Arabidopsis thaliana: one gene and its partner. The protein of the gene in region 2 interacts with the protein of the main gene of each other region in a pairwise test. Each region holds a gene or a part of one and is shown on either strand. Other genes may lie near its edges.

Region 1 (5,430 bases), on a different chromosome or scaffold from region 2:
TAGCTTCAACCTGGTCAGAACCATATCCAGCACTAGCCACCTGGCAAGGGTAACAGTTTAAGCAGAATCAGATGCTCGGCCAATACTATTCCACGAAAATAAAATTCGAGAAAAATTGAAAACCATTAGCATTTCATTAAGAGCCTAAGCGAATTTCGGAACCATGGTTGTTAATAATCACTGATCAATTAGACACTGTGTATCTTTTGCTACCTATGGAACTGCGAAATTCAAAAACGTTTTTGTAGCAGAAAACAGAACACAAACAATGTTAGGCGAGAAAAGTACAAACAAGGATGAAGGCCCTTGGACGTGACTGTAACAGCTCAATTGGATTCATGGTCTTCAAGGCATTATCTGTAAACAGAAAGAGAGAAGCGATAAGTAAGAAAGATAGCATATCCCTCTAATCTTCTTGAACAACTAGCTAAATATATGCTAGTTGTTCAAGAATCTGTTTTTAATCAAATTCAAAACTCAAACGGCAAGAAGAAACAGGAAAAGAATAGATTATGGACCTTGGTGATTGAGCCTCTGCTGTAACACTAAACCTCCAGAGCTGTCCTTGCTAATACTCCTGAAAAAGTAGATTTGGCAATTAAATTTGATCCCTTTCACGAATACACAGAGCGTACGTAATCAATTCAAGCCATAAGCTTCGTCACTAGAAGAAAGCTACACAATTTAGGAGTGTGCTAGGAAAGTCAGTAACAATAAACTATCAGATTTCGAAAATTAGACTACAACAAAGTGGCTAGTAGATAAAACAGAATCATGGGCCGAACAAAAGTCGAGCATATACCAAAATCGCAGAGGAAGAGAAGGAAAAGGAGAATCCAAGCATGAATCCATGATAGACTCCTTGCGACTACCGATGACAAGAACCTCAATGAACTCGTCAGACCCATCTTCTCCAGCTCTCTCGCACGTCTCTATCGGAGCAGAATCCCTCACTAAGCACATCACGCAAATCCGACGCGCCTTTCGAGATGTACAGTTCAATCGCGTCGTAGCACCAAGGGACGAAAACGGAACTCCAAAAGTAGGAAGTAAAGCTAAACGAGAGAACAATGGTACTCGGAGAGTAGAGAAAACTGGAAGTTCCATAGAAATCGGCATTGCTCCGCTTCTACGGAACCACTTCTTAGAATACAGAACAATTTAATAAGTCACATGAAATTGATAGATGATGAGATTCGGTCGGAGCATAGCATGTCTGAAGTTCTCCCGATAATTCTGAAGCAGAAGAGGGAAGAGTGAGAAAAATATCAAGTTCGCCGGCACCGTGAACTGATTATTTATTCATTAACCCTTATATTACTACTTATTTTAGTTTTGACCTCATATTTGTTTTTATTGCTTATGTACCCCTACTGTAAGTTGACGAATCGGTGGCGGAGATTAACTTTTGAACCGATCAATCACATCCTCATATTTGGTCTACTATCACTTTTAATAGTTTACTTTCTTGGTCAATGATATATTTTATAATCAAATTGTTTCATTATAATAAAGAAAGAACTTATCTTAGTCTTCTACAATAATGAGTCCAATATATTCACTAAACAAACAGTTCTTTCTTAACAACAACTAGAGAAAACAATTTCAAGGAAAAATTTTACTTAGAAAAAATCAACTAGACACGATTTTTTCTTCAGCATTTTATACATGAATTGTTATATTTTTTTGGATATAACTTTATCTTAGAAGAAAATATACTTATACCATTGTAAAAATAAGGGAATTTGGTCAAAAATTCCAAAAAAAAACTTATACTATTGTAAAAATAAAAATAAATGACATCGAAATAATTAATAAAAACATCTGGTCCCCATGAAACTCGTATATTAATACTTCAGATCCAAAATTTATGAAAAAATATCAAGCTCAATGTATTAAATTAAAAAATATAAATCATTAAAAGCTAGATTTTATTCTTGTTTGGTACAACCAATAATAATAAGTGGGGAAAAGTATTAATTAGAGTTTGCTTCACGTTTGAGTTTCACAAAAAGTGTAACGACGCCAGGAGAATTTTATCGGGTCGCAAGTGTCACCTTTGTGGATTTTGTCTTCCCTGCAACTTTTGACCTTTTCGCACTCAGCGAATCAGATCGCTATAGTACGGTGCACCCTACCGTCTCTGATCATCCCCACTGTCTTAATTAGATCCGACCCGAAACGTATCCTTCTCTGAAACTTCGTTTGAGATTCGCATTCCTCTGTTCTTCCACCATTTAACAATTATCCTCTTTTGTCTTCGCCAACTTCTTCCGTTTCTTCATACTTCTCCAGGTACTTCGTCGAGTTCCTCGTGCTTTAGATTGTTTTTGCTTTTTTCGAAGATACGTGAGAGAAGTGTTTCTCTTGCTCTGTCTCTTCTTTGATCTTATATCACGTGGGATCTGATTTTTTAGTTGCGGTATTCACAAGTCTTTCCCAATTTGAGGATGTTTTGTCTCCGTGATTTCTGTGTTTTTGTTTTGGAATATTGATGATTATAGATTCGAAATTATGCAGCTTTAGATACTAACTAAATGACGAATCTTTTCTCATTATTCGCTTGTTGAATCTTCCACTGAGCTCATAGATAAGGAATTCTCTGTTCATTGTTGCTTTTAGAGCTTAATTCATGTTCCTGAGATTCAAATTTGCAACCTTTTTCCCACTTATGTAAGAAAAAATGGCTTTTTATATATTCTTCATTCATGGCTGTGTTGATTAGGAATCTCTAATCTCTATGTCTACTGTTAGATTAATTGTTTGGTATTGATACTCAAATTGCATATATTTAGGTTCTTGCATTGGTTTTTTATAGTATCTTTTCTGCAACTGAGTCTTTGTATTTACCAAAAAAAGAAAAAAACTCAATCTTTGTGGGGAACTTAAAGGTGGCACTGAGTAATATTTGAATCTCATTGCTGCAGTTTTGTCTTGAGGTTTATCTGGAAAAAAGATGGAAGTTTGCGGGGATCTGAAATCTGATAACTTAAAGAACCGCCCCTTGACTCCGCTTAGGATTCTGAGGGGCTTGATGATCCTGCTGGTGTTTCTGTCTACTGCTTTTATGTTTCTGCTGTACTTTGCACCAATAGCTGCTCTAGGTCTACGGCTTCTGAGTGTGCAACAATCTAGAAAAGTTGTTTCGTTAATCTTTGGTCTCTGGTTAGCTTTGTGGCCTTACCTGTTTGAAACGGTTAACGGGACAACTGTGGTGTTCTCTGGAGACATCATTCCGGTTGAGAAACGTGTTTTGCTTATTGCAAATCACAGGACGGAGGTGGATTGGATGTATCTGTGGAATATTGCCTTGAGAAAAGGCTGTCTTGGCTACATCAAATACGTGCTCAAGAGCAGCTTGATGAAATTACCTATTTTTGGTTGGGGCTTTCATGTTTTGGAATTTATCCCGGTGGAGAGGAAGCGGGAGGTCGACGAACCTGTTTTGCTTCAAATGCTTTCATCTTTTAAGGATCCTCAAGAACCCTTATGGCTTGCTCTATTCCCTGAAGGAACCGATTTCACGTACTATATGCTCCCTATCTGATTTAACTGCTCTAGATATATTAGCTAATACATTATTAATCTGAATCTTCGAAGATATCTTTCAGTTTCTCTTTGGTAGGATATTTAACACCATGCGCATCTGTCTTGCAAATATCTTAAACCAGTCACCCTCATTTACAATAATTTGCCTGCTATTGCATGAATGTTTGAAATGCTGCTCTTAGTATATCTTCTTTCTATTACTGAGACCTTCCTTATTTGATATGCAGTGAAGAGAAATGCAAGAGAAGCCAAAAGTTTGCAGCTGAAGTTGGTCTTCCAGCACTATCAAACGTACTTCTACCAAAAACAAGGGGTTTTGGCGTTTGCTTAGAAGTTCTTCATAACTCTTTGGATGCAGGTATGGTTCATGAAATTTTGTTACAAATGTTGGTGTACATATAGTAGTATCTCAAGCCACATGTTATGCAAACACTTATGTGTTTTGACGACATTATGATGGCGTGCATATCTTCTATTTTTCCAATGACCCATGTGGGACCTCATGACCACAATTAACTGAACAAGGCATTTCCTTTTATTGCAATGCAGTATATGATTTGACTATCGCATATAAACCTCGCTGCCCATCTTTCATGGACAATGTATTCGGGACGGATCCTTCAGAAGTACATATCCACGTTCGGCGAGTTCTACTAAAGGAGATTCCAGCAAACGAGGCAGAATCTTCTGCTTGGTTAATGGATTCATTTAAGTTGAAGGACAAACTGCTATCCGATTTCAATGCTCAGGGGAAATTCCCCAATCAAAGACCAGAAGAAGAACTCTCTGTTCTCAAGTGCATTGCAACATTTGCAGGGGTAATATCTTTGACAGTAGTGTTCATATATCTGACCTTGTATTCACATAGCTGTTTCAAAGTATATGCTTGTCTAAGCGGCACATATTTAACTTTTGCTACATATTACAAGTTCCAACCCTCACCTGGCTGTTTTAGAGAAGATTCTTGTAAAGTTAAAAACCATTAACTTTGTTGTAAATACAATTCTTTCTTTGTATACAAAGAAATAATATTACAGGCAGAAAATATCTCTGGGATGCCTTTTTCATTGTAAGTTCTTTGATCTTCAGTTAGTTAAAATTGTATTCCATGTTGTTCTCTTGAAAGTTGAAACTCACATAGATAGTTTGTGTAGTCTTTAGTCACATTTTGGTTATGTCAAATTGTTTGAGTCTTGCAAGTGCCACTGTTAGCACTTTTCATTCAAAACTGTCACGGAGCAAACAGAATTTGGAAGGAAAAGTTGATATGTTGGAACTGTAGAACTCTTGTGTTTATTGAGTTAGAAACAACAACAGGTCACTAAACCATCTTGTCAAAAGGTGTTCTTACTTCTGAATCAGTCAAGTAAAGGAAGTTTCCATCTGAGCAAAACTTTGTCGGTGATCGACAAAGCATAGTAGAACCCACTTTGTCCCAAAAGAATGTTACCTTCTTTTTGCAGGTGATGAAAAAGAGAGTAAGAAGGCCGTTGCTCAGCACCCTTTCACTGATACATTGGATCATCTTTTTCAGGTAGAGCATAGCATCTCCTGTTTTCTTTATATGCATATCTATAACTTGTCCACGTGTCATCTTATCTCTTTATATGAGTAGGTGCAGATGAGCTCAGGTTAGTTTTGACTAAACCAACTTTCATGAACTTTCTTTACTTTTTTGGTTGGGAAAGATTTGAGAGGCACAAAACAAAACAATGTCTATTGATACATTTCTCTTAGGACAATACAAGCTCATGTAGAATTGTAATTCTATATCTAACCACACAAAGACACATGTACAATTGTAATCGATAACTATGAGACATAATCTTCTTTTTATTAACGCAAGAAAAAAAAAATCATCAAGGCAAATAAATGTTACAC
Region 2 (4,069 bases):
AGTGAGGGAGATTCTGGGAACTTGTGTGTCTGTTGGTTGTACTGTGGATGGGAAAGATCCTAAAGATATTCAACAGGAGATTCAAGATGGTGAAGTTGAGATTCCTGAGAACTGAAGAATTTGGAAATGATGGTGTGTTTGTTTCCTTTGCCTTTTGAGATTTTAGTTTCTTCTTCTTATGTTTTGTTTAGAACAACGACAAGTCAGTTTTGGATTGTTATTGCTGCTTTTTTATCTAATCTCAATTTTATGCTTATGCTTAGTTTCTTTCAATTTTATACGAAATGCTTGAACTTGCCTTAGGAAATTGAATCTGCGTTTAGTATCGTATCTTGCTGATAATCTAGAAGAACATTGATTCGTGATTCGTCTCTCTTGGAATGTTTGTGAAGCTAAATTGTAGAAATGAAGAAGAACAATGGCAATGCTTGTAGTTCATTCATCTGTATTCGCTAAATTGTGTTTGCCTCTCTTAAATTGGTTTCTTTGTTCTTCATCTCCCATTCAACACATTGTGTAGGGTATATAATCGAAGAAAAAGTTGTCTTTCTCGATTTTTTTTCTCAATACACCAAACTTACATACGTTGCAAAGATGAATTGAAAAACATTTCACTCGATTTAATATGGAATCACACAGTTAGAAATAGAAAATAGGAAGAAGCTAAGATACGAGTGGAAAAGAGGATATGTTTCTACATAATTGTAGGCACACTTTTTTTCTTTCGTGGCTAAGTTTAAACGTTGGCTGCACTTCTGAATGAACCGAGGGACTTGGAGCCTGAGGCCCTTAGAACGAATTGGTGATAAAATGCAGCTATCGTAGCTCCAATGAATGGTCCCACCCAGAATATCCACTGTAATTATGTAAGACCAAAAACACTTTAGTATTTTTCCTCCGTCCATAATTTGATTAATTTTAAATAATTAAGAAATAGAAACGTACGTGGTCATCCCATGGCTTGCTCTTGTTAAAGATTACGGCGGCTCCGAAACTCCTAGCCGGGTTGATACCGGTTCCGGTGATCGGAATAGTGGCCAAATGTACCATAAACACCGCAAACCCAATCGGAAGTGGCGCCAAAACCTTTCGTTTCATAATTCATAACCCAAAGTATTAGTTAATGATATCATGTAATTAACTAACGATCTTATAACTGATAAAAATAAATACTAACCGGAACGTGGGAGTCTCTAGCGTTGCGTTTGGGATCAGTAGCGGAGAAGACTGTGTAGACAAGCACGAATGTTCCGATGATCTCTGCCGCGAGTCCGGTGCCTGTATTGTAGCCGTCAGCTAGAAAGTTGGCTCCTCCACCGTAATTAACATAGTGAGAGCTTTGAAATGCCTTCACAAACCCAACTCCACAAATAGCACCCAAACACTGAGCCACCATGTAAAGCACCGCCCTAATCAGCGATACCTTCCGGGCTAAGAACAAACCAAACGTCACCGCAGGGTTTATGTGACCACCTACAAAGTTCTTGGGGTTAATTTCAAATAAATTACAAAACAAAGGACAAATTTGAAAGGTCCACAAATGTTAAATTTTCTGAACCGGGTAATAAACCGGACCGGTTTCGATATATGATACCTGAGATACCGGCGGTGCAGTAGACAAGGATGAAGATCATGCCACCAAAAGCCCACGCGATGCCAAGGATTCCGACGCCGCCGCAGTCAACTCCACCGGCTTTTGTGTCGGACTGAATCTTGTAACCAATGACAGTTAAAACGGTGACGTACAAGAAGAGGAGAGTGGCTACGAACTCGGCGATGACTGCTCTGTATAAAGACCACTTGGTAAGCTCCTCTGCGTCGAAAAACGGTGTTGGCGGAGGATCTTCGTAATCTCTCGTCTGAAATCCATCAGGTCCTTCCACGTCTTTAGCCATATGTGTTAATGGATGTTTCTGGACTTTCTAAGTAAGTGTTTTGCTTTGTGGTTGTTGTAGGGCTTGTGGTTGTGAGATGAAGAATAAAGGTTCTTTATATAGAGTGAGCTCTTGGTTTGTGCTACTGTTGATTTTGACACTTTTGATTTAATGTCACAACTTACAACATTGATGTTTTGTTTTATGGTATTTTTTTTTGTAACGAATGCATAAGTTGGTTTAGTGGTAATTTTTTTTTTTTGCTAAAGAAGTTGGTCAGTGGTAACTAAAGGAAATCTAAAACAAGTATTAATTTTTTTTTTATCTCAGTAACTTGATAATCTAAATCAGTGAGAACCAATACAAAAAATCTCCTAAAGATATAATTTAACATTTCCTGAAAAGTTTATACAAATAGTATAAATCTCATACTGTAATTCATTTCCAAATAACTAGATTGTTAAATGCTACTGATAGATCACCGTCCCAAGAGTCACGTCATTAAATTTTGTTAGGCATCACCCAAAAAATTTGACCGTTGACAAAAAACCAAAAACCGATAAAACGTGAGCAATTATATAAGTGAACATATTTGACAATGATGATCATATATACTTGTGTGTTAACATACATACCTTATCTTTTAGCTGTATCCACATTGCATATACTGTAGGTGCTTTTTAAGTTTTTGATAAATAATGATTTTATATGATTAGTAAAGTATTTGTCTCGATCGTGTCACACGATTCTTTTGTTTTTCTGCCGTTTCAAGCACATTCTGGATCATTCGTGCATCTTTTTCATGATAGTTGGTAAACATATAGTATATATAGTAAGCGAATATTTGTATAGGAAAATGAAATGGTATTTTAGGTCATTTTGTATAATAAGTTAAATAACGCATAAATACGTAATTTATTTGAGACTTAACTTTTTCGGTGTAAGCTGAGTGTTAAATCTGTCATAGGACACTACAATCAAATTATAACTCTATATATACTCCATCGACTATATATTGACTCAACATATCATGATAGAATTACATATGAGTCAGATGTAATTTTATGATCTGTTATTGTGGATTCATTGTTAGCAAGCATATATATACGTGTGTTCAGAAGACTAAAAAATTTACTATGAAATGAAAGAACATTTATTTGTTTGGAACAAAAAATGTTTATCATAACAAATTAACCCATTTTTCCACAGAGAACAATACCATTCGTAACCAATATCGAGTAGACAATTCTTTAACAAAACAGAAAGCGACAAAGATGAAAGAAAACAAAAATAAAACCAGGGGAGAGACCGAGAGAGAGAGAGCACCTTTCTGACGTGGAAATATAATCCAATAAGAGCAGAGAAATGTCGCTACAACGATAAGGATATTGTGACGTGGCAAAACATTGGCCATGAACACCACATTACACCACATTCCTTTTGTCTATGTACACTTTTTATTTTTCCAATTTATTTTTGTAGACAGACTAGTGATTAGTGAATACTGAATAATATACGTAAGAAAATTGCAATTGGAAATTTGGAATTGAGGAGTGAGAGCAAATGATTGTTGAATATGGGGACTAAACAACGTGGCATAAGAGGAGTGGTTGGGACGGCTGAACTGGAGTTGGACTTAATCTGTATGGACGGTGCCGATGCAATTGACGGAGCTAATCAATTCTATATGGGGCGGTTTCTCCGGTCCAGTGGACCCAACTTTCATCATATTTTCTACTTTAGTGGAAACATAACCCGTGAAGCGACGCCGTTTCTTTTATCATGTCCATGTGATAAATTATGTTTTTGTTATATGGTAGGGTTAGCTGAGAGCTATCAAAAGACTCTTTTTTATCCACCTAATAGATTTGATTTGTAACGTTAAGAGCATAGGAAGTCAATTTAATCGTTACTAATTACATGCATAAGAACTAGTATAACTATATAAGGAGCTCCTTCTAGAAATTAAATGAAGGATGATAGAATCTAGATAATCAGAAATTTTACTATTGATCAATCTAGCTATCTCGTAGTTCAAAAAGCTTTATCGTTAACAAGTAACAACTTTCAAGTATTGCCCAAATAGATAAGGTTCATAACTTCATATTTTTTATTTATTTTATGTGTAAAAGAGTGACAGTCTATATTATTCTAGGGGGAGGACAAGGCTCATGACATAGGACAAGAGAAAGAAA

The links.
Region 1: the proteins of RD28 (region 2) and LPAT4 interact in a protein complementation assay, tested with the Arabidopsis thaliana proteins (one large-scale study listed by BioGRID).

What each region holds. Positions count from the first base shown.
Region 1 is NC_003070.9:28,168,823-28,174,252, forward strand, and holds LPAT4 (lysophosphatidyl acyltransferase 4), read left to right. Parts: upstream 1-2,021; 5' UTR 2,022-2,295; exon of another isoform or gene 2,296-2,927; 5' UTR 2,928-2,956; coding exon 2,957-3,525; intron 3,526-3,776; coding exon 3,777-3,907; intron 3,908-4,098; coding exon 4,099-4,535; 3' UTR 4,536-4,856; downstream 4,857-5,430. Other genes in the region: ARC3 (GTP binding protein), read right to left, coding at 1-40, 293-357, 519-577, 803-1,119.
Region 2 is NC_003071.7:15,615,605-15,619,673, reverse strand, and holds RD28 (Aquaporin-like superfamily protein), read right to left. Parts: upstream 2,040-4,069; 5' UTR 1,896-2,039; coding exon 1,595-1,895; intron 1,474-1,594; coding exon 1,178-1,473; intron 1,087-1,177; coding exon 946-1,086; intron 857-945; coding exon 737-856; 3' UTR 519-736; downstream 1-518. Other genes in the region: AT2G37190 (Ribosomal protein L11 family protein), read left to right, coding at 1-115.